3 linked regions of the Oreochromis niloticus genome follow. The protein of the gene in region 1 purifies or fractionates together with the protein of each later gene. This does not show direct contact. Links are inferred from orthologs where the notes say so. Each region holds a gene or a part of one and is shown in the gene's direction. Other genes may lie near its edges. The genes, in order: rapamycin-insensitive companion of mTOR, mlst8 and prr5l.

Region 1 (10,626 bases):
TCGTGTTGCCTTAATCTGACTTTGTTCAACGTGATTACGTCACTTGTTTTTATTACAGAAGCTGATGTTGGCTGCACTGGCATTTAGAAATAAGTATGCCGGTCAACCATATCTGCCACATGAACTTATTTCTGCTGAGAACAAAAAGGTATAAAGAGCTGGTTGCTAGTCACTGTGGTACTTCCTTAGACTATGTGGGCAGTCTCATTACTCTCTCTCTCTATGTTCTGCACTTCCTCATACAGCCTTTTTTCAGCATTGATTCAGCTGTACTTTGGCCAGAGGTGTCAGCCTCTCTGGCTGAATTTGGACTTGGAGGCGAGATCATCGTCAGGTCGGAGGAGGGACGAGCTGCGTTGGTGCTGTCACCTTCCGGTGAAGAATTCACAGTGGAGTTCATGTGCAGCCTCAGTTCTGCTCGAAATCAGCACCGCAGCATGCAGCAAATGAGCAAAGATGATAGCTACGACAGACAAGAGCAAGCGAGCAGTCCAGTCCCCGATAATACCAGTGATCACACCGAAGTGGTCCGGCACGGAAGAAGAAACATGAGGACGATGCTGACCAGACCGAGGTCTTGTTCTCCTCAGATGATCAGCGATGGACACCAAAAGGTAGTACTTCCTTCTAATAATAACGCCAGTGTGTCTAAAGTCTGATAGGATGACTGATTTTTCTTCTCTTTCCAGCCTGAACAGGTGTACCAGTCCACCACAGTGGTCCAGCATCACTCATGCTGTGCGGTTGCTCCCATATGGGCCTACCCTCTTTCCTTGGCTCGCCATCACTGGGCAGCTCGTTTCTCTAAAGCTAAAGATGTAGTGGATAGAGGAGCTAGGAGTTCCAACCAATCAGACAAGACAATAAACAAATTGGACATATCCTGTGAAGACAGAAGGTCCCATGTTCCTCAGGCGCTGCCTCTCACGTGTCCAACGCCTCATCGGCACAGGTTTGTAGATTTAAAAACAAGCATTTTGTAAACCATTTCAATATTGTTCAGTGGCTGATGTAGGCTTCCTTATTTGTGTATTTAAGGTGGAAGGTTAAAGATCCCCTGGCCAAAGAAGAACACACAGACCTTCCAACTGAGATGGTAAAGGTAGTGTGGTGTCAGGGAGTCACTTACAGGTAACTTTGCAGGTCTTCAGGGTATAAAGTGTGGTGGCCCTGAAAGGTCAAACGCACTGCAAGTTAAGAAAACTTAACTAACTTAACTTTTGCGGAATGTTTCTATTTGTTGGTGTTTTCTTAAGTGGCAATGCATTTGATCTCTTAAGGCCACTGTTACAAAAAACAAACAAACAAAAAAAAAACCTCTGAATGATGGTTGATGTTAGATTGGATCAACCAGAGAGAAACTCTGTTGTTATTGTGTTGTTTGACAGCTTATGGGTCATTCAGATGTCGCTAATGTTTATGTTGTTAGCCCAGAATCTTTACCCTGAGGCCTGAGTGTGTGAGGCTCCAAAGGGCTTGAAATGGTATAAATAGATCACTTTGCATTATATCATGTGATGTTACCTAGATAATACCAAAACATCTTCTGTTCTACAGTAGGTTTGGTATAGTAGGCTTTTAAGCATTTAGCACCAAATCTCCTTGATTTGATTGAAGGAGATGTAATTGTTAATCAAAACGTCTACTTGAGGGCAACAGGTAAAAAAAATCCAAGATGAGAGCTCTCTTTAGTGTTTTGAGTAGTATCTTGTTTTTGCAATCTCTTCCAGGAGAGTGACGAACACAGTCACTGTCACTTTGTGCTGTTTATTACCCTCTGGATAGACTTTTTATCTGTTATTAATTTGAGTGTATATCTGTACAATTATTTATTTATTTAACATCTTTAAGACTTGAAGATTCGCTTTGAAAATACCAGAAAAGTGCTTAAATGTATTTATTTATTAAAAATAGTCCTGACAACATATAGCTGTCATTTTTCAAGTCCTCTGTGCCTCATCAGTTGCCTGAAAGCAAAACAATAAATCAGACCAGAAGCATCCTTCCTGTTGATCCAGTCTAACACCAAAGCTGAAAGGATCTCTGAAATCTTCAATTTTCATACTCATGATAAAAAAATCATTGTTTTACAGTATAGAGTGTGGGAGATGGTCTATAAATCTACACTAGAATAGTGTGCTTACCTTCATGTCTGCTGTGTAGGATACTGAGTGGACCTGTCTCAGCTGTTGAGGTTTCCCCAGGGGATGGATCAGTCATCCGCTCTAACCGCAACCTTAACTCTTATTTTACGCATCACAAAACTGAACTCCAGTCAGGGCTGGTAAACTTTAACCTCTTATTATAAAATTTAACCAATACATTTTAAAAATAATCTTACAAATTTAGCCAATCTTTACCACAGGTCAAAGAGGTAACCTACCATTTAAACAGCCTTCCACCTGATGTGCTTGGACAGGCCTACTCTGTTTGCTCTATTGTGAGTCGTGCAAGCAGGTAAGCTGCCCCCTCTTCATCACAGTCTGGTGAGTTAAAGGACTTTTAATTTTTTCCAGTCTCCACCCATCGCATAACTGTTTTACAGGATCCTGGCTTGCTACAACCAGGCCATGCAGTCACTGAAGTGTCCAGCCTTACCCAGCTGCTTGCAAGATCTCGAAGTAGTAGTACCTCCTGATACACCTGTGGATACCTACACTTTATCCACCATTTAAGCTTGTGCACTGCCAGTTACTGAATCTCTTTCTGTTTGCAGGATGGATATTTTTGTAAACCAACAGCGTTTGAAGAAAAGGTGCCCATTGCTGTGCCTGCTGAGCAACGCATGAGTGTGACAGAGGAAGCAGGCAGTTTGTAAGTTGTGTTTTTCTGGTCACTCTGTCGATATTTTGTTATAAAATTAAAGGTGTTAACAGCTTGTGTGTACTGTTCATTTTAGATCAGAGCTCGTTGCTGCAGAGCTTGAGAAGATAAAGCGATTTAGCTGTATCCTTCAGCACTGGGATCAAGATACAAAGGGATGCTTTAAACTAATGTCTGTATTGTCTGTATTGAGGCTGTCTCTCTGTGCTCTTTAACATCCTTTGCCCAGTTCTGCTGGAGAACAGCCACGTGCTAAAAAGTGGAAAAGCACATGCAGATGAGGAGGAAAGTCCTGCAGACGTCACTCGTGAGCCATTAAATGACAACTATGTTGCTGAAGCTCTTCAAAGGACATCCAAAGCAATTCAGGATATTGACGCTCTCGTATCTGCAGCCACACTAACTTAAAAGAATCCTTATGTTTAAGCAGGAAGCCATATTTGTGTGTTTGTCTCAATAAAAAATATAATAAAACTGTGTGGAATTATACTTTAATAAAGTATGTATTACTATGTAATGGGGTTGCATAGACTTTTAATATTTTAGTCTATTTAACAACCCCAGAAAAGTTGGGACACAATTTATTCATAATGGAACATAATCAAATGTTTCAATTGAGACATTGTAACATTTTAAGGGGGGAAAAGATTTATTTTAAATTTGATGGCAGCAAAACATCTTATAACTGCTGTGTAGCATCCTTTGTTCTCTTAACCACAGCCCATAACCATCTGGGAAGTGAGGAGACCAATTGATGGACTTTTGGGTGAGGAATGGTGTCCCATTGTTGTTTGATAGAGGATTTGAGCGGCTCAGCAGTCCAGGGTGTTCATTGTTGTATTTTTGATTTCATGTTGCGCCAAATGTTTTCAGCTAGTGGAAGGTTTGGAATGCAGCCAGGCCACTTCAGCACCCAGCCAGAATCCTTGCCGTTTTAACAGATGCAGTATGCAGTTTGTTTGTAGTTCTCATCTTCAAACATTGACATTGGCAAAGAATTGTTTGTATTGAGGTTACAACATGTCTCAGAGAAAACAGCAGAAAAGATATCGTTTATGCTGGCTCTCCTGACTGGGGTGGTCAGCTCAATGTCCCAGATGGCGTTCTATCATCAGGAGGGCATTAGATCACAGCAGGAAGGAAAATCAGGGCTCTAGCAGATCCCATATAATAAACTTCAAAAGGAATCTATTTTTGGGTTTAGTGTAGGGATCAGACTTTCAAAATAAAGCATATTCAGATTGCTCTGATGAGACAACTCTCCAGTGCTTCTCCTGTCAGAGCAGTGCAGAATCATCAGCGTTTCTATAGGTGCTATGACCTGAAGTTGTACTGAAAATCTGTACAACTCAAAAGGTGAACAGGAATGGAGACCGTGCAGTCCTCTGTGAAGCTCCAGTGCTGCGCATCACCTAATCAGACAGAGCTCTGCTCAGTCCCAGGCACTACAGTCTCTCTGTCAGGTAGTCAGTAATCCAAAACATGGTTTTAAGTTCAAGAAACTGAACTTCTTTAAATGACCGAACTGATAGATGCAGTAATAGCAAGCATCTGAATCTTCTTTGCAGTTCATTTAATGTCAGGTGGTGAATAGCTTTCAGTCTATTTTCCAGATCTGTGTTCCCTTGTAACCATAAACTTTGGTTGCATTAAACTAAGAACTCGGTGAACTATGCAGCACATTGTGTTTACACTGTAATCAACAGGCAGAGAGAGGTTTTACAGTCTCTGTTATCATCCAGTGGAGACAGCAGCTGCCATTGCCCCAGTGAGTCAAAACAACTAAATAGTTTATGGCTGAAGATTTTTTTTTTTTTTTTGAGTGAGTGACTATTGACACATTTTAAAGCCCCTGAATTGCCAATCATGTACACTAGCAGAATATCAGAATGATCTACCTAATACATTCAGTAAGCTCATAGAGTATGGGAAAGATTAATATAAAATCTCTCATTACAACCCATGAGGATTTAAAAGAAGAGAAAGAATCACAGAGCCATTGCCTACTGTATAACTTTGTATCTACGATGATTCCAGGGCACTAGCTGATGTGCTCAGCGCGCAAATGTAACTTATAAAGTTGCCTATCATATCTCTTTCTCATGTGACTGTACACTTTCTCTATTTTCAGTGACTTAGTCAGCTGTTTCTATGTCCTTTAGGCTGTTTATTAGTAAAAAATTATTCATATTAATTTTAAAATATGAATACATTAATGTTATTGATGTTAATGTAAATATAATAGGCCTGCTATAAGCTACTTCCATACTGTTAACTTTTTTTTCCTGATTAGCTTGATTGTGAAGGTTGTACAATACTCCTGTCCTTTTCAGACTGGGCTATTAAATTGAGTCGAGATCAGAATCAGTATGTAGAGTCATTGCTATTAGAGAGTAAGAGAAAAAGTCACTTTCTTTCATGCATTCAGGTGTTAGTTGAAATTAATTTGCAAACAGACAAAATACGCCTGTACTCAGAGAGTGTCTATTTATTTCAATTGGTGAAGCCACATTTCGGTCCATTCCCAGAGATTGACAAAATGTTCATTGTTATGTATGGGTGACACCAAGTGTGCAAGATGGTTATTGCAGATTTTAAGACCTGAAAAGCTGAACATTATAGTCATTCATTGTTATTATTATTCTTTTCTCCAACGAATACCTGTTTTGCCTTTAGTAAAACGGCAGAAAAACAAACTAACAAGAAGTTGTGCTGTAATATGACATTTTACTTTTGATATTATTTACTTTTGATATTTACCAAAAAATAATTAATAATAATAACTGCATAATAACAACTTGCACATTAGATAGTCATTAAAATTACATTTTTTAAAAAACAGAATAAACTACTTTAAATGTTTAGTGACAGGCTTTATGCGTGAAAACTGTGAAGTCTTCAGTTATAACTGTGAAATGTCTGTGAAAGTTCGAGTTGGAGCCACTCATAGACATGACTTATTGAAAGTATTTTTCAGTCAAAACCCATGTTAAATGTATGCATAATAATAATAATAATAATAGTAATAATATTAATAATAGAAAAAGGAAGAAGAAGAAGAATATACTTAAACAATAAAAAACGAATGGATAAGGCAAGTGAAAATTTAACTTTACTTGAAATGATAATATTTGTGATAGAAATTTAGCTCTTGAATGAGATCCCCCTTTGCTAACCCTAACACAGTCGCCAGGTCAGATTTATGCTTTATCCCTCATACGATTAGAGGGATATTAAGGAGGATCCAGCTGATCTTAGGTCTGTTGTGGATCTGTTGCGGTCCCTCTCTTGTCTGCTGTCTCGCGATAACCCGCGAAGTTTCCGGTGTTGTGTATGTTCCTGGAAACATGGCGGCCAGCTTCCGCGGCCGTCCTATCCGGAGTCTTCGGATGCGAGGTAAGCACAAAAACCTCGATTCAGCGGCTGCTGTAAAAGCAGGATATTGCAAAATATGATTTTGTCACGCACGCGATGACCTTGGAGTAATGTCTCGGCGTGTCCGCGGTGTGTGTTTTTGACAGGTCGGAATGACAGCGGGGAGGAGAACGTACCGCTGGATCTGAGCAGAGGTAAGCAGAGGCTTCATCACATCACCCTGAAAGCGATTATTGTTCAAAATGGATGAGGGCGATATCTGCAAACGCTAGCCCCGCGTGGTGAAAGTCTAGACAGTGTACGCGCTTGACCCATCACTGCTGTTGTTATTTCGCCATTTTCCCTCACTGTTTGGTCTAAAAACGTCGCTATCGATGTCATAACAACAGGCGGCAACGAGCTAACTTAACTAGCTGAGTTAGCGTTAGCTAGCTGCAGCTAACCAGCCATGAAGACGCTCTGTTATTTTGATCGGCGTGAGTGGGCACGATAGCCTGTTATTTAGCCAAGTAGCCATAAGAGTTGCAGTCATGCATTTGTCATCGCTAACTGGCTGGGGGAATTGAGTCTGAAAGCTGTGCGCCGAGAAGCATTGAGGCAGCACACGGTGGATCTTCCAGAGGAGCACTGATAACACAGCTGCACAACTTGTCAGATTTACTCCTCCAGCATCAACACTGCATAGCAGTTTGTTTACACGGAGCAGCAGTGTCTCAGTCCTGGAGGCCCAGATCCCTGCTAGATTCGTTACAATCGTGTCAACTAGAGACACGCTCACCTAAAAATGTATGACTGACAACATTAAAATCTTCACCACAGGAGAGTCAATACACTTAACCTATCAGCTGCTTCAGTGCGATTTACACTATTTACATGTTCTTCCTGACAGTACCAAAACTGGGGAAAACTAAAGTATGTCAGTTCCCAGAGGTTGAAAATGATGAAATAACAAATGTGCATACTAATTTCATGTAATCACTGTGGCATCAATTAAAATGTGATGTATTCATAACTTACTGTAAGATTGGCTCGTGATGTTTACAAATGCTTGTTACCAAAGTAACCCTTTGGTCTGGCATTTTTCTCATTTCCACTTTTGAGCGATGGATTGAGTGCAGTGTTTGGAGCAGTGAGACTGATGACTAATACCGATAGCTATTACTTTTTGACAAGCTGCAGTGGAATCAGGCTTATCATCTGCTGCGCTTGGTTGTTGAGGAGAAAGTGATCTGAGCAGCTCATTAAGCTGGTGTTTTCCTAGTTTGTGCGATGTTTACATTTGTCTTGCAGGGCAATATGTGGAAGTCATCCCACGCAAAGCGGGCGTTAAGGCGTCGACCACGCTTAGACGATTCTGTTTTAAAATGCGGTTCCCGTTTGTCAAAACATTTAGCGTAGGATAGTTGAAAGGAACTGAAAACAAAAACACTTCCCGCTCAGGTCTTGCTTTTTTAATGTCTAGCCTTTGTTTTGATTGTACACTCTACATTAGTTCCAGCTAAACCAACTTCCTTCCTGCAGGATATCTATTACGGTTCATTGACTGATATTATTATGGCAATATGGCTTAACGCCTCCCTTAGTTACATTGTATTTCCTTTTCATTCTCCTTCAGAACCGTCAGAAAACTTCCGTGAAATCCTTCAAAATGTGGCCAAACCGCACGGAGTCAGTAACATGCGAAAACTGGGCCACCTGAACAACTTCATAAAGGTAACGCTGTCAAGCTCTGATAATTTTGCCTCATTTAAAGACAGTTTTGCCTTGCTGAAATGTTGTGAGACATGTAGCTTTTTGAGAGGGTTCACTTGGTTCAGATCTCTCACAAGATTGATTAGCTGCTCCTCCTCTGTAGTGTCACCACTGACCTCTCCTTGATCTTTTCCTCTTGGGTGTTGATGCCAGCAGGCCTAGTTGTGCCTGTCACTGTGATGCTGACAGTGAATATAACAGGAGCTCGAGGGATAGGAGAGCACTCCAGTCTAATGTGCATGTGGAGCAGTGCTCAGACTTTGAAATCTGAGATTAATAGTGTCTAGTTATTGTTTGTATGGACCTGAGACTTTGATTTGTTAAAAAAAAAGAAGAAGAAAAGATTATTTTAGTCATTTTTTCTCTTCTGGTTTTTAATGTGAATGATAAAAAAACAGAGGATTTAGGAGGATTTTCAGTTTAGCAAGGCTTAAAACACAAATATGCTAACATGGATTGTAACACATGTGAGCCCATACAAGTTTTAAATTGTTTTGACCATGCAGTATAACTGCTCTGATTCACTTAACAGCAGTAAATGTTACTGATACAGAGATGAATAATAGCAATAATATCCCCAAAAGTTTGTTCTGTTCATCTGGACGTAGCGTTTTCAGTTTGAGAAACGTTTCGTCACTCATCTAAGTGTCTTCTTCAGTCTCAGCTGACTGCAGACTGACTGCAATAATAATAAAAAAAGAGTATGAAATTTAAGTTTCTTGCTCATTAAAAAAAATCTGTTTTAGTGTTTTCGCTCATCATTCAGGTCAGCCCTGTTGGTCAGGACTAGTGACCTCTCCAGGGTGTTTTTCTCCTGTCAACCCAAAACATGCTGGAGTAGTCTCCTTCCTGTTATTTTGAACAGGAATAACAGGGGTGGAGAAAATGAGTTAATGATTGCGAGATGAGCGTGAGATAGAAAACTAGCACTTTCTTGTGCCTTGAGCACACTGGCCTTGCTGACTGTCACCTCAGGTGGGAAAAAAAGAGTCAAAACCATGTGCACAACTGTCTAATTTACCACAGTTTCACACTCTCCGTCTGCACCTACGCTGGGGTCAAATTGGTATAAAGTTTGTCATCTGAGTGCAGGTATTTGTCTGCTCTTCACTTTGTTGTGACAGGACTGTCTGTGTCTGTGTGCAAAGACAGTGATGTGCAGTATTTTAAGGAAGCTAACTAAAAAGCAGTATTATCAGAACAACTACTGGTCTGCGGTGTCCGCAGTTGTCCATGCACATGTTTACAGGAGAGTCCTGATCATAGCCATATCCCGATTTCCTCTTTCACCCCACTGCCTCAGACCACTTCTGACTGCCGGTCATAAGCGTATTGTAAACAATTGTTGGTGGCTGTGCGGCAAGTGAGTACTGGCCCTCCTACAACTGTGCAGCTGGCACTGGAGCAGGCTCGAGGCTGAGTGAGAGCATGGGTTTGTGTGCCTGTAATCTGTACACCTAACTCTCTTGTTTACAACTGACTGGAGGGTTATAGCCATGATGTGTGTGTGTGTGTATGTGTGTGTGTATGTCCCATTAGAGCACCATGACTCTGATTCCTTATAAGGGTTCCAGGACAGTGAGGGTGAGCTAATCCCCCACCCCCCCGGAGAGCATCACGTGCACCCTGTCCCCATCTCCTCTCCCCTCGTTTGCCTGTTTGGGCTCTGACATCACAGCTGTTTTAAAACAACCCCATACTCCTTCTTGCCTCTCGTCACCCATCCCACCCTGCTCCGTCTTGCCTCATGCTCTGCTGTGCTTTAAGAAATTTATGCTCAACTTTGAGGAACAGTTCAAACCAAAAGTACTACAGTGGTTCACTTTCATTAGGAGACACATGGCAGAATAGACAACTGTGATGGAGGAGCATTGACTTGTTGTGTGAAGAAGCCTCAGTGTACCTCTAAGAACGGTGTTACCCTATTTGGAACATTAAATATGTAAAATATTGATTAGAGTTCACATTCTCACTAGTTGTTGTGTGCAGCTCTACAGTTGTTAGGGAGATGTAAACACTCCACATAAGATTTGGATGATGATTACATAGAAACATGGGGCTGACACTTTATAGCTGATTTCAGTCATTTGAATACCCTTCTGGCTTATACTTCGCAATTGCTGTGGCTTTGTGCTGGCAATGTTACCTCTTACACAGTGACAACAGATTCATTCACACCCCACATAAAGGGCCCACAAGGCCATCTTTCTGCAGTAAAAAGGAAGAAGTGATCGATCTCTTATAACTGTTTTTTTTGTTTGTTTGTTTGTTTGTTTGTTTGTTTGGCTACATTTTTTTTTAAATTACTCTGTCTCCCACTCTCTCTTTGATTTAATAGTTACAAGTACTGCAACCGTATTTTATTATTTCACTGTGTTTACCACAGATTTATATTGTCTCTCATCCTCAAGATCATACATGTAAAGTCATTTTGAATTGTTTGCTACATACATCCTACTTTGAGCTTATGTGATAAATTTGTAAAATTACAGAAAAATGTCTTGCCCAGACCGTCCTTTTATTACATATACATTTTTCATTGTCCTTTTTTTTTCCTATCTAGTATGGAAACATGTTATTGTACATAGTGGAAAAAACAGGAACTTTTTTCATTTAATTGTTTATACGTTACTTAATTACTTAGGTGTATTATGAATAGCAGTCGTGAGGGGTCTT
Region 2 (10,437 bases), on another chromosome or scaffold:
TGCCCCCGATAGGCAGAAGAAAATGGATGGAAGGCATTTGATAAATTTAATACATAAAGACATTATTTGCTATAGGCAGAGAGTTGGATTATTTAATTGGTTAAAGTTTGTTAGAAGCTTGTACTGAAAAAGAAAAAAACTTAAAGTCTTAGAAGAGCAGATGAAGCAGTTTACATACGTCAGGATGTCCTCTCCCAGGAAGCAGCGGTTGCGCAACTTCCCCGCCCACATCTGAACTCCAATGACTCCGAAGATGTGGATGACAAACGCGTAGAGGATGAGAACATTACCAAGCATGGGGGCCGTTTCAAGGAGTATTGTCACCAATATCCGCATACCTACACGAATGAGCAGCAGGAAAATTAAGCTTACATGAATAATAGTTAGACTCTCTCTGAAAACTTTAATTTGTTTTGTAAGTCTGGAATAAAACCCTTCTCCTTGGATCCAGCAGGTACTGTGTAATTGTATAAATCACGGTAAAAAACTTAACAGAAACTCAATTACTGCATTCCATATGACTTGATGATGACCAAACAATGAATCCATACACTGGGGGAATAATTATTTGATCCCCTCCTGAAATTGTAAGTTTGCTCTCTATGGTCTTATGGTTATTTCATTTTACTGGAGAGAGACAGAAAATTAACCAAAAATCCTGAAGAAACAAAAGGTCTAAACTGATTTGCATGACACTGAGTGAAATAACTATTTGATCTTCTGCAAACTCACATTTCCTGGACAATCCCAAATAAATCAGAAAGTGACAAATTTCACTAATTTCTTATTACAGTTTGTGTTTTGAAAAGGTTCAACGAAAAATGTCACGAATGTCTCAGAATTTAATTACTTACTTACTGTGAAATCTTAAATATTTAAAAGATATTTTATTGACGTTGTATACTTCATGGAGATTTGTCACAATGGTTACAATGCAGTGATGAAATATTACATTTCCCCTTTATGATCACATATAAATTAGCAAATACCTTTATTCCCCGTATTCAGTTAGAAATAAACAACCTGTGGAGCAAAATTCTTTGTTACTGTTGTTTAACTGGAGTGGTTCAACATTTTAAACTAGATCTGAAAAAACACTGCTACCCCTCAACCTCCCAGTAGACACACCTATGGATTCAATTACAAAATCTTACGTCACCTTGTTCTCGAATTATCACAATCACAATATTTTCAGAAAACTTGAGCCTGAGGTCAAGGTCACTGAGATTTGAATTAGTCCAAGATTTTTAGTAAATACACCTATGATATCATAGGTGATGTACTGAAACTCATACATCACTTTGTGCTTGAGTTATCAAATTCACAAACTTGGATGACCATGCCACATGCTCGCCTGCCCTTTAAAACTTTCCTTGTTTAGCCCTCCAGTCTAAACAATGTAGTGTACATTCAAAATAACCACACTAATCTAAATAATGACAATCATCAGGCCTCTGTTCTCTTCAAACTCTGTAAATATCAACTTACTTGGTACTCGGCTGATTAGTCTCATTGGCTTGATGGCATGAGACGCTTCTACGTGGAGATTAAAGAATCCAAACGTATAATCCATTAGCCTGAGGTGGCAGTTACAGACACAAACAAGAAGGTGAGTTTTACTTTCTTTCATTCATAAAAATAAGCGTGCCTTCCAATAATCTAAAACTGCATCTTTTTGGAATTCCTCTGCAAAGGTTTTTAAACTGAAACTAAATTCTAGAGACACATAGATACAGACACATGGATGCTAACTCTGCAAAGATGATGAAAAGGTCAAACTTGTTCCAGTGGCTGCTCAGGTAGCTTCCTTTATGGCCGATGAATCCCAGGGCTATTGTCTTAATGAGCGTTTCCATGATGAAGTAAAGAAAGACGAGAGAACCCAAAATCTGTATACAGAGAACGAAAAACATCATCATATCAAATATCAAAACATACAAGGCATACTGTTAACATACAATCACTGGTAATAACAGCAGTAGCACAGATATAACATACTATATCCAGATGCTGCATCTGAGCTTGTAAGGGGCCTGAGGGTCTGGTTATGGGCTCTGATCCATTCCTACAAGATTTTACTGTTTAATGTGACTTATTGCAATAAGTTACCTCCTCTTTAAGATGACATATTGTTAAGTGACTGTTCTGACAAAGTTAATGCTGACTTATGTCAGGTTAAGAAAAAAGAGATGACCATTTTAATTAAAGTCATTCAACAGAAATAGGTGAAAATTAAATACATGTATGTTATTCAAAATTCTCTCTTTCTGTGTTAAATCTGTTTTTGGCCACAAATAAGACAAACCAACAAATCCTTTAAATGATGTGAGTAATCCTGTCAGTTTTTAAAGAAGAACATTTAAAAAGCAGCTGCAGAATTGAAATATTAAGTGTAGGACTAACACTGTTAGTATCATATATGGTACAAAAACTCACATTTTAAACTTAAAACATGTCCTTGACAAAGCACTTTGGGATTTTTCATCGTGAAGCCAAGAATCAAGATTACACTAGAACATTATAGGACTAACAAATGAGAGCGTTTACGAAGTGTGTTATAAACTACAGCTTATTGTTAGTCCTTAAAGGGACAGTTCGCATGTTGTACATCTGTATACTTTCTGTTGGGCCTGTTGTGCCATCTTCATCTAAATTGCTATGATTTGAAGTTCAGCTGTAGAAATATTAGCAGAATATTCATGATTCCCGAAATTATGGCCCTCCCCTGAAAAACATCAACAAATTGTGTTATAAATAGTTCATTTAAGGACTATTTTTTTTCTACAGAACTAGAACCGCCAGCCAAAGATGATGAAAATGAAGATGCATAATTTTTTCTGCACAGTGATAAGCACTTCTAGTCTGCTAGTCTCTTCTTCTGATGCTCAGCTCATTATAATAACCTCTCGGGTGAAGCTCTCCTCTTTCGCCTCTACACAAGGCTGGTACATGCCGTCATTCACGCAGCTGAGCAGGACCACCAGTATGGACAAATAATCCAACCATGTAGAAGAAGAGGTTAAGGTCCAAACACATTCATAAAATTTATCAGCAACAAAGGAAGCTTTCGTACTAAAAGTGTTTAATGTGGACATATTGAGTGGTATACAAGAAAAAAAACCTATAAAAAATTTTAAAAAAAGGTTTGAAATTGTGTTAATGACATTCTTACTTCATTCAGTACAGAAAGGATATGGGCCAGAGACTATTTTGAGGAACCATTTGCGGGGTCTACTCGTCTGCTTTAGTCCGAAGCACACAGGCACTACCTCTGGGAAGGGAAGCTGCTCCTCTACAACGACGCCTCTATGTCTATCATGGATTTCATGCATAATGAAACCAGAAACGCATCTGAGAGAGGTCAGGAAAAAGGGGCAAAGAAAACCATGATATACAGATCTATTTGGAGAAACAACTTCCTTTTCTTGCATAAAAAAGTTAAGCAGTCCCACACTAATAGAGTTGGCTATATATGGATTTTTTCTGTTAAATGTTTGGATACATTTCATTACACCTGTTCAACTGCTCCTTAAGTCAAATACCTAATCAGAGAATCACATGGCAGCAATTCAGTGCATTTAGTCATGCAAGCATGGTCAAAAATAACTGCTGAAATTTAAACTGATCATCATAACAGAGAACAAAGGGGAATTTAAGTGACTTTGAATGTGGCTAATTGTTGACCCTAGAGGAGCAGGTCTGAGTATTTCAGAAACTGTTGCTCTCAAACATATCTGCAATCAGTTTCTGTTAAAGTGACTTTTATATATCATCCAGGTAAAAACTTCCATCCATCCATTCGCTTCCGCTTATCCAGTGGCCAAAAGGATCTGTATTGATTATAATGTAGAATACAGAGTAGATAAAATAGCGCACAGCCATTTGCAAGGATCCTTGCAAAACAGGTTAATCAGTCAGAATCAGAATCAGTATATTTTATTAATCCCTAAGGAAATTATGTGGGTTACATTTGCTCCAATACAGTAACAGAAACAGACTAGACTATTTAACAATACAATATGTCGCAGATTTACAAATTTAAGAAACAGCACAATATATACAAATCACTCAATAATAAATATCAAGGATTGACAGAGGTGATTATAAATAAATATCAAGAATGTTGACAGGAATATTATTGAGAAGAAAAGAGCATGTGCAAAAAGGGTGTAACTATTACAGTGTTTACAGTGTGTTAGATGGAGAATTAATTAATTATATTAATAATTGGAAATATAACAAAAACAGAACCAATGAGTTAGGAAAGCTGTCAAATAAAGGTAAACAAAAGAAAATTATTGTAATTCTCACTGAAATGAATTGACAACTTTTCACTGTTTTAAGTTGTAGTCCGGAAGAGCAGTGACTCAACACATTAACGTTGAGTGTACCTTATTTAGGCAACATGCTAATGTTTTAGTGACTTCGCATTAGCCTAAAGCTACAGTCATTGGAGGCTACATGATGGGGCTGTTAGCATGACACTGTCATAAACATGAATAGGCGGCACACAATCATAAACTCTCCATTTGTTTTCTACTTATGAAAGTTTGGTTGGATTAGCTAACTGGTTTTGGATAAAAGAGTTGCGTATGGCATTAGCTAGCTAACTAACTAGCCTCTTTTAGATAATAACTATAGGCACTGGAGACAGAAATATTTAACAGTTTGCAAACATGTTATCCTCAGGTTCAGCAGACAGAAGTAAACATACAAAAGTAAAACTTGGAAAACCATTTCCTAATTTAGCTCAATCAATCAATCAGTCAAAAGAAAATCCAACAATGCTTTGAGGACATTTCTGTACCTAATTATGCTACTACAATTTATTTTAAAGAAATTTAAAACCACTTTATTACACTTAACTCTGAAAATGTTCATTTTTACATTTTCGAAAATACTCAAGTTACATTTTTCCCCCAAACAGACTCACAGGTTTCTGATTGTAAATTCTCCTCTTCACCTTGACTTTGGCCAATCAAAGGTAAATGAGCCAAACTCTGATGTGAAGCTGTAACCAACAGCAACCATCCTGAAACCGGATGTTGACGATGAAGAGCAAACTGTTTTATTAAACAGTAATTTCATCCCTTTAAGTTTTTTTATTCTTAAAATTTATCTTATAATATTTTAATGTGGGCCCAAGAAACTATTGATAGCGGGTGTGTTGAAGCTAATATTTTAATCATTAAGTTCTGGCCGAAAAGGTGGAGACTGAAGCTTAAGCACAGCACCTAGACTTTTTGTACAAAATGTTGCTTAACTGGCAACACTTTTCTAACCTGATCTGCCCCAAAGAAACACCAAAAAATGACACAAAATTAGGAATAAATACTAAACTAGGACAAAAACAAATAGTAATCATATTGATTGTGCCTCATGTTTATTTTTTTTAATCACCTGAGTTTTTATGTTGTTGTTTTATGTTGTTTTTTTTAGATAATGATCAATCTTAATTCAATCTTTATAATTTTATATTTTGTACATCAGTGCATTTCAGACAGTAGATCATATATGAAACTATTAGGGGACAATATACCATGATGATTTTTGATTTATGATGTCTTTAGTTTTATATCATTTTGCAATAGTTTTTGTTTCATTTTTGTTTTTACATTGTTAATAATGAGTCTTCCATAACTGTCAAGTTGATACTAGATGTGTTTAATACCTGTTAGAACTAGTGTTGATCGTGGTACTGAGTACAGTATTTGTGAGGTTTTTCTGAGCGGTTCTAGAAACTGGTTGTACAGACAGAGGATGATGTCACGAGGTTGGAGTGTAATTTTTTATATACCGAAAAAAAAACCCCTTATTAGTTAAGCAACAATACTGTATCCATATTGGCACGTTTCTATACATCCAGCTATGTTTCTATGTTTCTATTCAACCCTTGCCATTTGAAATGTACGAAAAGTTTAGTAGTACTTAGAATAACACAGGCTACAGTGATAGAAGCGATCATCTTAAATCCTATTGACTCAATGGCATTTTTCAACTTTCTATTATTTACTTTCTTTTACTTTGGTACTGACTATTAGGACTGAGATATCGCCATATTGACACAAGCAACTTTTCAGACGATGCTAATAAAGCTGAAATTAAAAGATGTTGCAATATTACATAATGAAATACGATTAGTCTTAATTAATATTATGAATTATTGGTATACACTTCTTTGAAAATCATTGTATTTAATTGCAGCATGTCTATTCCTCGTGGACACACCAGCAGAGGGCGGTACTGATCTAGTGATTGAACCGGAACTCTTGAAACACTATTATGTTTCTAAGGGACGCGTTAAGGAGACGTACTTCTTGGCTGGCTTCAACACTAACAACAACAAAGGGGAACTAAAGAAATTTGTCCTTTTAAAACGGTAGTACTGCTGTGTAGTTATAGGTAAGGGGTCTAATGGTTTCATACTAGAAGCGTTTATTGTTTATTGCATAGACTATAAGTTTGGCTAGCCTCTCTTGCTAAAGTTAGCTTATGATACGTTCACAGTTTAACCCTTTTTTGTGCTTTAGCTGTGTTTTGTGTTTTACTTTAATTGTTGCAAATTGAATTTCCCTGCAGTATCCGCCAGGAGTTCGTCATGAATGTGAATCAGGGGACGGTGGGCAGCGACCCGGTCATTCTGGCCACGGCTGGATACGACCACACTGTCCGCTTCTGGCAGGCCCACAGCGGGATCTGCACCAGGACGGTCCAGCACCAGGACTCAGTATCCTTACCCTGATATATGGAGGCTTACGCAGAATGTGTACTGTCATGTTTGAATAATTATAGGTTATGACCATTTATAAATCTCAGGTTTAAAGTTCAAAGTTAATCAGATGTTGTCTATGGGGGGGGGGGGGTTCTCTTCAAGGCAACAAAAGAAAACAAGCTTCTCACAAAAATCCACGTGAACGCAAAAAGTGCTTTTGTTTTAGTTCTGTGTTTTCTATTTGTTTATAGATGTTCTATAAACCCTTTAGGGTTCGCTGAAGTGGGTAATTGCCTTCATCTCACACTCTTTTGTCACACCAACCCTCTGCATGTCCTTCTTCACTACATCCAAGAATCTCTTCTGTGGTCATACTGTTTTCCTCCTGCCTGGCAGCTCCATATTCACACTTCACAGGTCTCATTTACACTGTCTCTCCTCTGCATAGGTCCAGACCATCTCAGCCTTGCCTCTAACCTGTCTCCAAACCACTCTCTTTACTCCGAATGAATCTTGAAATCTTCATTTCTGCCACATCCAGCTCTGTCCCGTATCTTTTTGTCACTGTCACCGTCACCAAACCACACATCATAGCAGGTGTCACTTCCATCTTACAAACCTTCCCTTTCATTCTTGCTGCTATCCTTCTGACACTCATCCCCACATTCTCCAGTCTGCCTGCTCACTCTTGTCACCTCTCTTGTGGACTATCTTGACTGTTACGCCTGTCTCTCTCTCATGACTTTCATTCCTCCTCTCTCCAGACACTCTTCCACCTGGTGCCTGCTTTCACTACAGATCAAAATCTTGTCTGTGAACATCATAGTCCACAGAGACTCCTTTCTGATGTCATCTGTCCACCTGACAGTACCCTGACCTTACCTAGCAGTTTAAATTTGATGAGCTGTAAAATATAGCAGCAACCTACATTGTCCACTTCCTTAACATTTACTCTCAGCAAGTAAATTCACTCGAGGTCACACCTGACAGAAGTATGATTGCAGCCGCAGGTTGGTTACAATTTTCCCCACAATCCTTTTTCTCATTTCTCACCTTAATGTTACTTTGCTTCATAGTAATGTTTGCATTCTGCTTTCAAGGTTATCAGCATATCCGCATGTACGACTTGAACTCCAACAACCCCAACCCGGTCATCAACTACGATGGAGTTAGCAAGAACATCACGTCTGTGGGCTTCCACGAAGATGGACGCTGGATGTACACAGGAGGAGAGGACTGCATGGCTCGCATATGGGACCTGAGGTACTGAAGGACAAGCTCACTGGTCTTTGTTTATTTAATGATCAGCAAACTAAACTCTGATCCCTGCTCTACCTTGTAGGTCAAGAAATCTGCAGTGTCAGAGGATCTTCCAAGTAAACGCTCCAATCAACTGTGTGTGCTTGCATCCTAACCAGGTGAGACACTCAGTACACACAGATGAATCAGGTGAGGCTGTGCTCTTGGTTACTATCTGGAGCATTTGCACTTAATGCCGAAGATTTCATTATGTTTTTTTAGGCAGAGCTTATAGTTGGAGACCAGAGTGGAGTGATCCATATCTGGGATCTGAAGACAGACCATAATGAGCAGCTGATTCCAGAGCCGGAGGTCTCAATCAACTCAGTTCACATTGACCCAGATGCGAGTTACATGGCAGCAGTCAACAGCTCGGTCAGATGCTTAAAAAAATCTGCAGCATATGTGGCGCAGGTTAATAAATTCACTGTTTTATATCGTGTTATATTATTGAAAACCTTTTTTTTTTTTTTTTGCCCGGCTCTCTTTTAAAGGGAAACTGTTACGTGTGGAACCTCGCTGGAGGCATCGGGGATGAAGTGACTCAGCTCATTCCCAAAACCAAGATCCCTGCGCACAAACGCTATTCCCTCCGCTGCAAGTTCAGCCCCGATTCCACGTGAGTGAACCTTTTTCTCCAATTTCCCCCTCATTTCCCCACCAAAAATACAACTTGACATTTTGCATTCGTCGTCGCCTCCAGGCTGCTGGCCACCTGCTCGGCAGACCAGACGTGTAAGATCTGGAGGACGTCCAATTTCTCACTGATGACAGAGCTCAGCATCAAGAGCAATAATCCGGGAGAAACATCCAGAGGCTGGATGTGGGACTGCGCCTTCTCCGGAGACTCGCAGTATATTGTTACAGGTCCATACAGCAGCACACTGCAACAGATCTCAAAACTGAATAAGAATTGTTCAAGTAAAACACTGCAATCTATCTGAGGGCTGCAGATTTGAAATGTGGCTGTTTGTAAGATAAAAAGGACATCTCATTTTCTGATTTTGTCTTGATTTGTCACACTAACCCCTGCCCTGCCATTACATCTGCCATGATGTAAAAGGGGTTTAAAAATGAAACATGGCTTTAAGTTTGCTCTCAGATTATGATAACTTTTAGACACTTCCATGTAAGGCTGGACATTGCTTTGTTTTAATTCTATTTTTTCACTCACTCCACAGCCTCCTCAGATAACCTGGCTCGCCTGTGGTGCGTGGAAACTGGTGAGATCAAAAGGGAATACAGCGGCCACCAGAAGGCCGTGGTGTGTCTGGCCTTTAATGACAGCGTGCTCGGCTGAGAAGCAGAAGGAGGAGATAAAAGGTTGTCAGACAGGAACTAAAGACTCTTATGAGGGTGCCACTCATGTCACGTATGTCAGCGCCAGTACAGTGATCGACTTGAGGAAGCGGGCACAGTGGCCATCTCTGGCATATGCGCAGAGTGACACAGCCAAAATAAAAATCTGTAAAGTTAAAATCTGTTTTAATGGACTTATTTTGTTTCCACAGACGTACAGAAAGAAATCTGTCAATGACGAGGCAGACATAATAGTTTGTTTGTTTTTTTATTCAAATTGCAAAACTCTGTTTTTACAGAGCGCTATATTTATTGTAAAAAAGACCACATTAATCACAGGTGCTTTGTATGTGCAGCAGACTTGTCTAATCTCTTACATGTGCTATGTATGATTTATTTGAATAGCTGTTCTGTTCTTCATTATGTGGAGGAGGACTGCTGAATAAACGGTGTACAGAAATGTCTTTATACCCAACAGGTTGTGTCTTTTATTCTCAGAACAAAACAGTCACATTGTAACAGGAACGGTTACACACAGCAGTCCGTTACAGGACATACAGTTAGAGGCATTTACAACAAAAAAACGGGGGGCGGGGGTTCTTTCTTCTTTAATCTGTGAAGCGTGCCACCAGAGAGGGAATTATACATGAAGAGAGTGATGATGGGGATTTGGCGATAAATGTGACAGCCTGTCTCCAGCTCACTTCTTTCTCGGAAGGAAGAAAATGGTTTACTGGTGGCTGTATGGCACAAAGGAAACAGTCAAAGCTCGCTTTTGTTCTTGAAGAGGGAGCCAAAAACAAAAAGAAAAGAGACAACTTTGTTTCCCTGATCTTTTGCCGGGAGGATCGAGAGAATGCAGAGTCACTCTGGAAGGTAGTAGAAGCACACGGACACGCAGATGTTGCTGGGGAAGCAGATGTCGATGCAGAAGTAGACCAACCTCTGTTTGCCTGGGCCTGAGAAAATGAGAGGTCATGTGACTCATTAAAAAATACAAATTTAGATTAAAGTGTCACTTGAAAACAAATCATTTAGAAATGCAGTCATTTGCATGAGTCATTCATGGTTTAAAAGCAGCCAGATTTAGTTTGCTGTTCAGAATGGGCTCGCGTACATGCTGTTGA
Region 3 (9,902 bases), on another chromosome or scaffold:
CATTAGAGAGACACAAACATCCACAACTTAAAAAAAAAAGTCACTTAATGGTTTTTGAATGAAATTTCATGCAAATGCAAGTACAGTAGATAATACAGTTGGAAAAAACCCAAATAAAGTGCCAATTTATAGTTAAACTAATAATAAAAACTATCCAGGGCATTGGATAGTTTATTTCCAGCAGTATGCAGTATTGTATCAAATGACAAAATATTGCATTTCAATTTTTATTTTATCTACTAGTAGCGGTTTCTTAGCAGCTATTTGGCCATAAAGGCCTGATTCACACAGTCTCCTCTGAACAGTTGATGTAGAGATGAGTGCTACTGGAACTCTGTGTGACATTTATCTGAGCTCTAATCTGAGGTGCTGTTAAGTTATGATTTCTGAAGCTGGTGACTCAGATAAATTTATCCTCAGCAGCAGAGGTGACTGGGGCGGTCCGCATGTGAGCCAGTTTCTTCGTAGCGCTTGATGGTTTTTGAATGTGTCCCCAAGTGCAGTCGCAAAGTTTTAACAATTTTTCTGACTGACTGACCTTCAGTTCTTATCCTCCTGAGACCCAAACTCTTTCATAGCATGCATTTTTAATTTCTCTTTGCTATTTGGGCTGATTGGGACCTGATGAATGTAAAAACAAAGAATTACCAGATTTTTTTATTTTTTTTTTTAACCTGAATTTTGTTTCTAAGAAAAATGAGATCCACATATGAGGACATTTGTTTGAAATTTTGATAGAACAGTGGCAGTATAATGTCCTCGTAAGTGGATATCAGGCCCTTGAAGAGCAAAATTTAGTATTTTGGTTTAGACATCCCAAAATGTGATGTCCACATATGTGGACGCCAGGTCCTAGGAGTTTAAAGTAATGATGGGCTGTCGTTTCTCTTTACTTAGCTGTTTAAAATAAAAGACATATTTAGAGTTATTTATCATTTTTTTTCCTTTGCTACATAATTCAATATATTCATTTAGCTTCATATATTTGATGTCTTCAGTTTGTATCTACAAGGTAGAAAGTAATAAAAATACAGAAAAACCATTAAATGAGAAGGTGTCCAGACTTTGACTGGTAGTGTATCCCAACATACCTCGTCTGTGTTCGTGCAACAGCGTTAATGTTGCTTGAGGGACAGGATCCACATTTCTGAAGGATTTCTTAAACTAGTACTGTGGTTTCCATTTAAACTTTGAAACAGACATTACAAACACATTAAACACTGACAAACATAATAAAACACTACATTTCTGACCTTTTCACCTCAACACACCTCATCTGTGTGACTGTGCAACAGCACACGTTACTTCTGGTAACGTGTGATATGCTACAAAGCACTTTTGGTTTGTTTTCAAACACAGAAAAACATTTCTGACATTTCTACCTTGACACACCCTTTAGACAGGGGGTTGCATCATCCCTGCACGTCAGAATGAAAGGGCCATTGTCCACGATTATCATAGCACACCTCTGGTTGTGGTTTTGGTTGTGAGGGTCTTGTGGTGTAGCATTCCTTCTGTGGTGGTGGAAAGCTGAATGATGGTTAGACAACTCTTGATGCTGGCTTGTTGACTTGGTTCATACTGTGGACCAGAGCCAGGCAGAACCTTTTGAGAGCCATCGGTTTCTGGTTTCAGTACAAGTCTGTGTTGTAAACCAGCCAGGAATTCACAATGCACAAGTCAAGGATGTATTCAAACGGTGAAATGTACCATCTGCTCGACTTGACTGGGGTCCTATGCAGGTGTACTAGCATGTAAAAAAAAAAATAAAAAAAAATCAATTCCTCCCATAGCTCATTATATGCAGGGATGAGTGATGGGCGTGGAATGATGATCTTTGCTCCACTGACCGAACGAGGCACGATCCCACAGGCGTTTTCTCAGAAGGTTCATCCATTTGTGGTTGAACCATTTTACTATAATCAGACCTTTTGAATCTACGCTTTTTTTTGTAACAAGTAGGCTCAGATGTTATTAGCAACTTATTATAATCATTTCCTTTTCTGTTCAAAAGATTGGTCCAATATGTCCTAAACTACAGGACCAAAAAAAGTCATTAAAGCACCATTCCTTAATATTTGGCGTTATTATCATGGGTGAGACTCAGAAACTTCTGGGCGATTTCATTTGGTTTAAAGCTCAGAAGAAAAAGGACAATTTAGCCATAACTCACATTTGCTGAGCAAGAAACGTCTAGGATGCAAACTGCTGATGTGATGTCCGTCCTGGTCAAACTGCTGCAAAAGGCTGAGAGACTGAGTATAATGTAATTAAAAACAGAATGCAACAATTTACAAATCTATTAAACCCAAAGATACAAAATGTTAAAACTGAGAAAGATATTTATAAAGATGTTGGCCACACATCTTAAAAATCGGTTGGGTCAAGTCTTCATCACCAAGAATCTTCTATGAAGCAATGCTGTTATAATAGATGTAGTGTACAGTTAAAATAACGTCTTTGGTTAAAAAGATATGATCTGGATGAGAACTTATGTTGCTCTAAAGCCTTTATATACCTTTCAGAATTGATGGTACATTTTCAAATGAGCAAGCTGCCATGTCTACAGGTTTGACAAACATAGTAAAGCTCAGAGATGCAGGCTTTTAAGTGAGCACTAATAACACTGGGTGGTCTTTGTCTTCTTTAGTCCAGAGAACAGGGAATGTTTTCTTCCAAATTAATTTTTTTTTTCTCACACAATTTGTGTATGCGAAATAATCCCAAAATGCAACAGTACATTCTGCCAATTGGCAAAAAAATAAAAGAAACAAATCACACACATAAACCCTATAGTCATATTGTATATGCATATAGTGGTGTATTTAGGGCTCTTTAAGTGTTTAATGGAAGTGTAAAAATTATATACAATGCAGTTAATTTACCATTTAGTACACTTGAGGTGTAAAAGTATTATTTTAGGCATTTAATGAGTGAACATCATTTTAAATAAGTCTTTGATTCTTATTGGTCAACGACAGATATTTATTTGTACTTCTTGTAGTTATCCAGCAGATGGGGATGTTTGTCCCTTTAAGATGTTCATACCCCACATCCGGAGTTTCACCAACTTTCTGACCTCCTCTTTGGCTAAAGTGATGTCCAGTGTGGCCTAAACCTGACCCAGTACCTTCTGTGTGCTGCAGCCATGGACACAGTAAGTTACTGTACAAACAGCTGAAAAACAAGTAAGCCAGTTCTGATGTCAGACCTTAGAAACATTAGAAATCCGGTCATCATACTATTTTTGTCATGTGGCCTTCAGTCCCATGTTGGCTCCCAAGGATGGGAATGTGAGAACAGCAAGGTCTCAGTTAAACGTATGTTCCAAGCAGGATTTGTGACATCATCACTATAGTAGTAATTAAGTCTCAAGTCTGTCCATAGATACTCTACGGTTTTTCTGAATGGTTATTAATATTTATCTAATACTACTTTTGCTAATGCTGCTGTATAGCATCTTAGTCCTGCTAACTACATTCATAACTACAGTCAAGATCCTAAACAAACAGTCTTTAATGCTTATATTTAGTAATATGTCCAATATTATTTTAAAAAAAAATCACACAGTACTGCTCAAAACACAACAAAACAAAAAACAGGCACAAAACACTGAAAATAATATCTTCCTGTTGCTATTATTAGAAAACATTATCCTGACCCATCATGCAACCTTTTTTTGGCAATCCTTGCCACAGCAGGAATACTGAGTTCCTGAGCTGTGGAAGTAGCTGAAGCAAAAACTCCGGTGTGGTATTATATCTGTGAGGCCACTGAACGTGACTTTCAGTTGGCCTCGATGTAATTCTGGCAAACCCTCAGGAAACTTAGTAGGAGAACTCTGCTCATACTGTGTACAGTGGAAGTGGGGTGCTGCAGACTTCTACTGAGGATATAACCGATCATGGAGGGATCCCCTCAATCCTACTAATACGTCTTCTGTAGAAGAACCATAGTCAGAGGATGAGGGAGATAATTTGTTCATCACTGGGGGTGAGCTAATTGAGGCAGTGAAGCAACCCCTTGGTGGCAGGTCCCCTTGGGTGGATAAACTCTGCCCTGAACACCTTAAGGCTCTGGATGTTGTGGGCCTGTTGTCTGTATGGATGCTGTCTGTCTGTTAGTCAAATCTTTGTAGACATGCATCTGCAACATTTCGTGGTGATCTGGGACGGTGCCTCTGGATTGGCAGACTGGGGTGGCGAGCCCTATCTTTATGAAGAGCTACCGTAGGTTGAGAGGCAGGTAACACCCTGGACCCAGGTCGCCAGTGTGGTGCAGCCAAATACTGCATACCAGCACAAACATTGAAACAGTGGACAGGTCTCCAGCCTCTACCAGGGCCAGCACACACTGGGGCTATGCTGAAATGTGAATATACAAAGTCAAAAATTAACAATCATACTTAAAACATGCTGTAAAGAAATTTCAGACAATTTAAAACTGAAACTCAGAACATAATCCGCTCTTGATGTTCTAGTTTTATTCTCTCAGTAGAAGACTTGGTGCTATTAAAGGGGTTCAGAGTAAAGATTAATTCTAAAAACAAAATTCAAACATTGTCTGTGTACAAGTTTGATATGAGGTCATCAAGGACAGTGTAGGTTTCAGTAGGCCGTGATTTCATACCTATTGATCCTTATCTGGAATCTAAACTGCTCCAGAGAAAGTTAAGGTCACAACATAAGTTACCATACCTATATATCCTGGTAAGAAGTTACCACTGGCATAGTACAGAAAGCCCAGGGTTAACCTGGATGAGCCAGAATGCTGCTTTGTACTATAGCCTTCTGACTTCAACATAATTGAGATACTGTGGCTGTGTATTAACAAAAGCCTACAAACCTCAATTAACTGAAGCAACATTGTGAAGAAGAATATGCCAAAAGTCCTCCACAATAACGTGAGAGACTGATAAAGTCATACAGAAAATTATTGCTCCAAGTTATTGCTGCTAAACATGTTTTTTAAGCTACTGAATCATAAACTATGCTTGCTTTAGAAATGGTTATGTGTTCTAAGAATTTTAAAAAGTAATAGTGAGCACTTTTATTCTTATATTGCTTTCTAATTAGCCTAATAATTTAATGTAAATCACAGAATCAGGCCTAAAGGTCTTCTGAAAAAGGCAATTAATAATCCAAGACTATATTATATATAGAATTATATAGAGGTTTAACTATATACCTTTGCATATCTCTGCCTTGTGCAACGTGTTTTCTGCGAATAAACTGTGTAAAAAGTGTTGTGAGGTTGTACTGTGAATCCATTCCACCACAAAACTTAATTTCTAACAACTTCGACTTTTATTTTGAAGGTCACGCATGGCAGCGTCGGTTGCAGCCGGTACTGCAGCCTGTTGAATGGAGGCAGCGGGAAGAGGCAGTTGTTCTCACTTCCAGTTATCAGAGAACCTGTGTGAACTCCGTTTCTCAGTATGAGTTCTTAAGCGGAGGAAGTGTTTGTTTTTTTTAGAACGGAAACCCAAGCGATGCGCACACACAGCTGCCGCTGATAACAAGAAGCGGCACTCCGCTTTCAGCTGCACATCTTATTGAGTCGCCAAAAGACAGCGGCTGTGTTTATTTCTCAGAGCAGCAGCAAAAGGTGAAGCGAGTTTGCAGAGGTGAGTCCACGCACGAATACCACGAGGCTTACATCCTGTCAAGATGTTCACGCAGAACAGCGGCTAAACTCTGTGGCGTGTTTCTTTTTCTTTTACTGTGTTTTTGTGACCGGACGCATTTCATATCCTCTCGAGCTGGAATTCAGTAAAAAGTAACTTACGAAGAAGAGATCCTTTAAAATAGAAGTGAAAACCCCCTTTTTAGGTCAAATAGATACAGCCCACTGAAAAGGGGAGAGTGCAGATACCTGCTGGTAGTTACGTGTGTGGAATGACCCATAAAACTTCATGTAAATAGGTATGCAGTCACAGACGGGTGGCCCTACACTCAGTTCAGCTCTATAGTTACATGTAATGACTCTGGGCAGGCGTCGTGGGTCTTATACCAGTAATTCTGTGTGCCAGCTTAAAGCGTAAGATCGATAACTGCACCGCATACTAACCCAGTGTTTGTTTTTCGATCGGTAGATTTATTTATAACTGTCATTGTTGTGTTGGTATATACGTTTTTAACCGCTCGTGAGGCGATTTTTCTTGATACCAGTTGTATTTGTCAATGACATGAAGCGATGGAGGAAACAGTAATACGTTATTTCATTCTTAGAACACAATAGCAGATTTGAGAAGTCATTATGATCTTACTTATGGCCGATTAGACTTCTCAGAGCATTATTTAATGATCTTATTGTTGCAGCTCTAGATAGACTGAGTAATTTTTAAGTGCACTTATGTGAATTCCTCAAGTATCTGGGGATCGACCTGTCAGTAGAGACCCACAGTTGGTTTTTTTTAGGATGCCAAGATAACTTTACCAAGTTAGGCCTATAAATAGCTCACAGTTTGCAGATGTCAAGCAAGTGACTACTGTCACCTGTTACTTTGTAACCAGAATTGTTTAACACAATGTAACTTCAAAGTAAAAGAAAATAATGTTGTGCGTGTATAATATGGCCAGAGAGGTAAGAGGGCCATTTATGGGGCAAGGATCAGCAGAGGCAGACTGATGCTTGGCCTTGCAGTGTGGTGGTAGTCTGTAGGTAGTATACAGAGCTTTGTAGATCCTGTTACTTTTTACTGTCTGACTGACAGGATATTGGTACAGGGAGAACTCACTTGGCTATTGGTTGCTTGGAGAAATTCCAGTTTGACAAATGCCCTCGTGGGTTTTTGCAGACTCTGTACTGTCCACTGTTACTCTTCAGTTTATTACATTAGGATTAGGGGCTCACTAATTGGCACTTGCCCGATTTCTTTCTATTTTTTTTTTTTTTTAATTCAAAGGGCACTGACGAACAGCCCTCAGCCAGTGTCTCCCAAAGTATAAAATACTTTCTGTCTAGCATGAAAGTCTGTGAACAGTTGAATGTAATTACAAATTTGTCATCAGAGATTACAATGATTTGTTTGTTAGAATTTCAAACACCATAAAACTACCAGAGCTGATTAGAGTGTGGCACCAGATGTCTTTAATATTGAACCTTTTCACAATATTCTACTTTTCTGAGATACTAAATTTCATTAGTTGTCAGTTATAATCATCAAAATAAATAAATAAATAAATAAATAAACACTTAAAATATATCAGTCTGTGTGGAATAATTGTATACATTATACAAGTTTCACTTTTTGAATGGAATTAATGAAATTAATCTACTTTTTAATGATATTCTAATTATATGACCAGCACCTGTATTTTAAAATTGACCCCACAGTTATCTTTTACAGAATAAGAAACTCAATTTAATGAAGTATTGTAAAGTACAGCAATCATAGTACCATAAATTAAGCTTCAGTCTACATCCCTGCAATTCATCAAGCCTGAAACCAAAGAGTTAAATCTGCTCTGCATTTAACGCTTTGCTCTCTTTTCTTGGATTGGTACTCCATACTCTGGACTAACAGCCCTCATATTAGACAGGTGTTTCTAGACAATCTGTCCACAGCTGTTATTTGCATTAATTTCTATATGGTCAAAATGAAGTCATTGGGGGTTATAAGTATTAAGATTTTTAATTTGTTTTTTCCTTTTTATCCCACAAACCCCCAAATTTGCTTTATGATGATAAAACCATTTTAGGAAAAGTTATAAGAGATAATGGTGTTTTAATTTAAGCTACGTGACATTTAAAATGCAATAGGTTCAAAATGACCCCCATTGGTGTTATACAGTCCCGATCAAAAGTTTAAGACCACTTGAAAAATGGCAAAAAATCATATTTTGCATGTTTGGATCTTAACAAGGTCCCAAGTAGAGTTTCAACATGCAACAAGAAGAAATGGGAGTGAGACAAAACCTTTTTTGAGCATGCAATTTATTGAAAACAACGCTTAAACTGAAACAGGCTGTTTTACAGCTGATCAAAAGTTTAGGACCACACCTTCAAAAAAAAAAAAACCCTTAAACCACCCACAAAACAGAAATCAAAGTTCCAAACATGAACTCAGAAATGAGTAGCTCCACCGTTATTGTTGATCATTTTAAATATTTGTTGCGGTGTGCTTGATGCAAGTGTTTCTATGAGGTGAGTGGGAACATTTCTCCAAGTGGTGAAGACGGCTGGAAGAAGGGCATCTGCTGTCTGGAACTGTTGTCCATTTTTGTAAACTTCCCTTGCCATCCATCCCCAAAGGTTCTCAGTGGGATTTAGATCAGGGGACCATGCAGGACGGTCCAAAAGAGTGATGTTATTCTCCTGGAAGTAGTCCCTTGTCCTGCAGGCATTGTGTACTGTAGTGTTGTCCTGTTGAAAAACCCAGTCGTTACCACACAGACGAGGGCCCTCAGTCATGAGGGATGCTCTCTGCAATAGCCAGCGGCGGTTTGACACACTTTTACCTCCTGAAGGTCCATTGTTCTACTGAAGGAAAAAGAACCCCAGACCATTAGGTCTGAGGATCGTCCAGTGTCTTGATGGACAACCGATAGGGTCCTCTGGTTCAGTGCTGGTGACATTTTTTGGGGTTTTCCACTTGACTTTTTTGTTCCACAACACTCAGGATCATTTAAGAAATTCCAAATGACTGTCTTACTGCGTCCCACCTCAGCAGCGATGGCGTGCTGCGAGAGACCCTGCTTATGCAGTTCAACAACCCGACCACATTCAAAAAGGGAACTTTTTTGTGCCTTTGCCATCAAAACATTATGACAGTGTGACTCCCTGACAGAAAATGACAAAGAATCAACATTTTTGCACAGATTTGGCCTTTTAAAAGCATGTGGTTCTAAACTTTTCATCAGCTATAAAACAGCCTGTTTCAGTTTAAGCGTTGTTTCCAATAAATTGCATGCTCAAAAAAGGTTTTGTCTCACTCGCATTTCTTCTTGTTGCCTGTTGGAGCGCTATTTGCAACTTTGTTGAGATCCAACCATGCAAAATATCTTCTTTTTTTTTTGTTGCCATTTTTCAAGTGGTCTTAAACTTTTGATCAGAACTATAATATGATATTGAAGTTATGTTTCCTACAAATGAATTAATTTATACAAGGCATATTTCAATAAAAGCATACCTATATTGAGCAAATATATTCTATAGGAATGTGTTTTACCTGCCTAAGAAGATCTGTGATATCAGGCAGATATGTGGTTCTTCTCTAAGTATCGGTGCAATCTACTTCCACATTCACTGCATGTAGTTGGGGGAATTCCCTCAAACTGTATCTACAAAGGCTGCAGTGTTATGACTGTAAAAAGTGGAACATGTAGCTTACTTACATGAAGTTAATTTACCTGTTTTATTTACAACTGGAGCACTGACTGAATAATGTTTACACATTAAAAGCAAAGCCAATTGGCCACTCTAAAAGTCAACAAATTCCATACGGTATATTTATTTGTATATATAATAAAACACTTTAAGAATTAGAGCAAGAGAATTATCTCATAGTAAGTTAATCAGATAGTTGTCCCAAATTGGGGAAAAAAAGGAAGGCAGATCACAAAACAAACTGGGTTGCCCTTTAATATACTACACATTTTTCTGTGGTATATTTTCTGTGCTTCTGATAACTTGACATGATATTTTCATTGCTAATTAGAGGTGGTATGGTAGACTGTCACTGCTTATTTCTATTTACTGGCAGATGTTGTGAAGCTTCGGTTAAGGAGTTTAAGAGATCTGTAACAGATTTTTAACACAAATAAATGTTACTCTGCTAATTTAAAACTGTATTTATGTTACAGACGGGAAGGAGTGATAATGTTTTTCGGTCTAGCTCCAACATTAACGTTATATATTGTCTCTTCATTGGCTCCAGATTCAAATTTAAAATCCTACTC

Evidence for each region.
Region 2: the proteins of rapamycin-insensitive companion of mTOR (region 1) and mlst8 purify together in Homo sapiens (affinity purification with western blotting; 14 studies listed by BioGRID and IntAct, with this or other methods). This does not show direct contact. The link is inferred for Oreochromis niloticus from reciprocal best matches to the Homo sapiens genes RICTOR and MLST8.
Region 3: the proteins of rapamycin-insensitive companion of mTOR (region 1) and prr5l purify together in Homo sapiens (affinity purification with western blotting; 3 studies listed by BioGRID and IntAct, with this or other methods). This does not show direct contact. The link is inferred for Oreochromis niloticus from reciprocal best matches to the Homo sapiens genes RICTOR and PRR5L.

Annotation. Positions count from the first base shown.
Region 1 is NC_031977.2:11,883,025-11,893,650, forward strand, and holds the start of rapamycin-insensitive companion of mTOR, read left to right. Parts: upstream 1-6,107; 5' UTR 6,108-6,170; coding exon 6,171-6,219; intron 6,220-6,344; coding exon 6,345-6,392; intron 6,393-7,813; coding exon 7,814-7,911; intron 7,912-10,626. Other genes in the region: lg12h5orf34 (uncharacterized protein C5orf34 homolog), read left to right, coding at 59-148, 246-614, 690-952, 1,039-1,131, 2,164-2,284, 2,366-2,457, 2,546-2,621, 2,717-2,814 and 2 more. UniProt on the Homo sapiens protein: Component of the mechanistic target of rapamycin complex 2 (mTORC2), which transduces signals from growth factors to pathways involved in proliferation, cytoskeletal organization, lipogenesis and anabolic output.
Region 2 is NC_031973.2:21,210,200-21,220,636, forward strand, and holds mlst8 (target of rapamycin complex subunit lst8), read left to right. Parts: upstream 1-6,257; 5' UTR 6,258-6,402; intron 6,403-6,579; 5' UTR 6,580-6,598; coding exon 6,599-6,727; intron 6,728-7,670; coding exon 7,671-7,722; intron 7,723-7,812; coding exon 7,813-7,975; intron 7,976-8,054; coding exon 8,055-8,130; intron 8,131-8,233; coding exon 8,234-8,386; intron 8,387-8,505; coding exon 8,506-8,630; intron 8,631-8,714; coding exon 8,715-8,878; intron 8,879-9,192; coding exon 9,193-9,311; 3' UTR 9,312-9,785; downstream 9,786-10,437. Other genes in the region: voltage-dependent T-type calcium channel subunit alpha-1H, read right to left, coding at 179-338, 1,489-1,577, 1,753-1,889, 2,904-3,006, 3,196-3,332; bricd5 (BRICHOS domain-containing protein 5), read right to left, coding at 10,175-10,269.
Region 3 is NC_031972.2:39,237,334-39,247,235, reverse strand, and holds the start of prr5l (proline-rich protein 5-like), read left to right. Parts: upstream 1-5,354; 5' UTR 5,355-5,626; intron 5,627-9,902. UniProt on the Homo sapiens protein: Associates with the mTORC2 complex that regulates cellular processes including survival and organization of the cytoskeleton.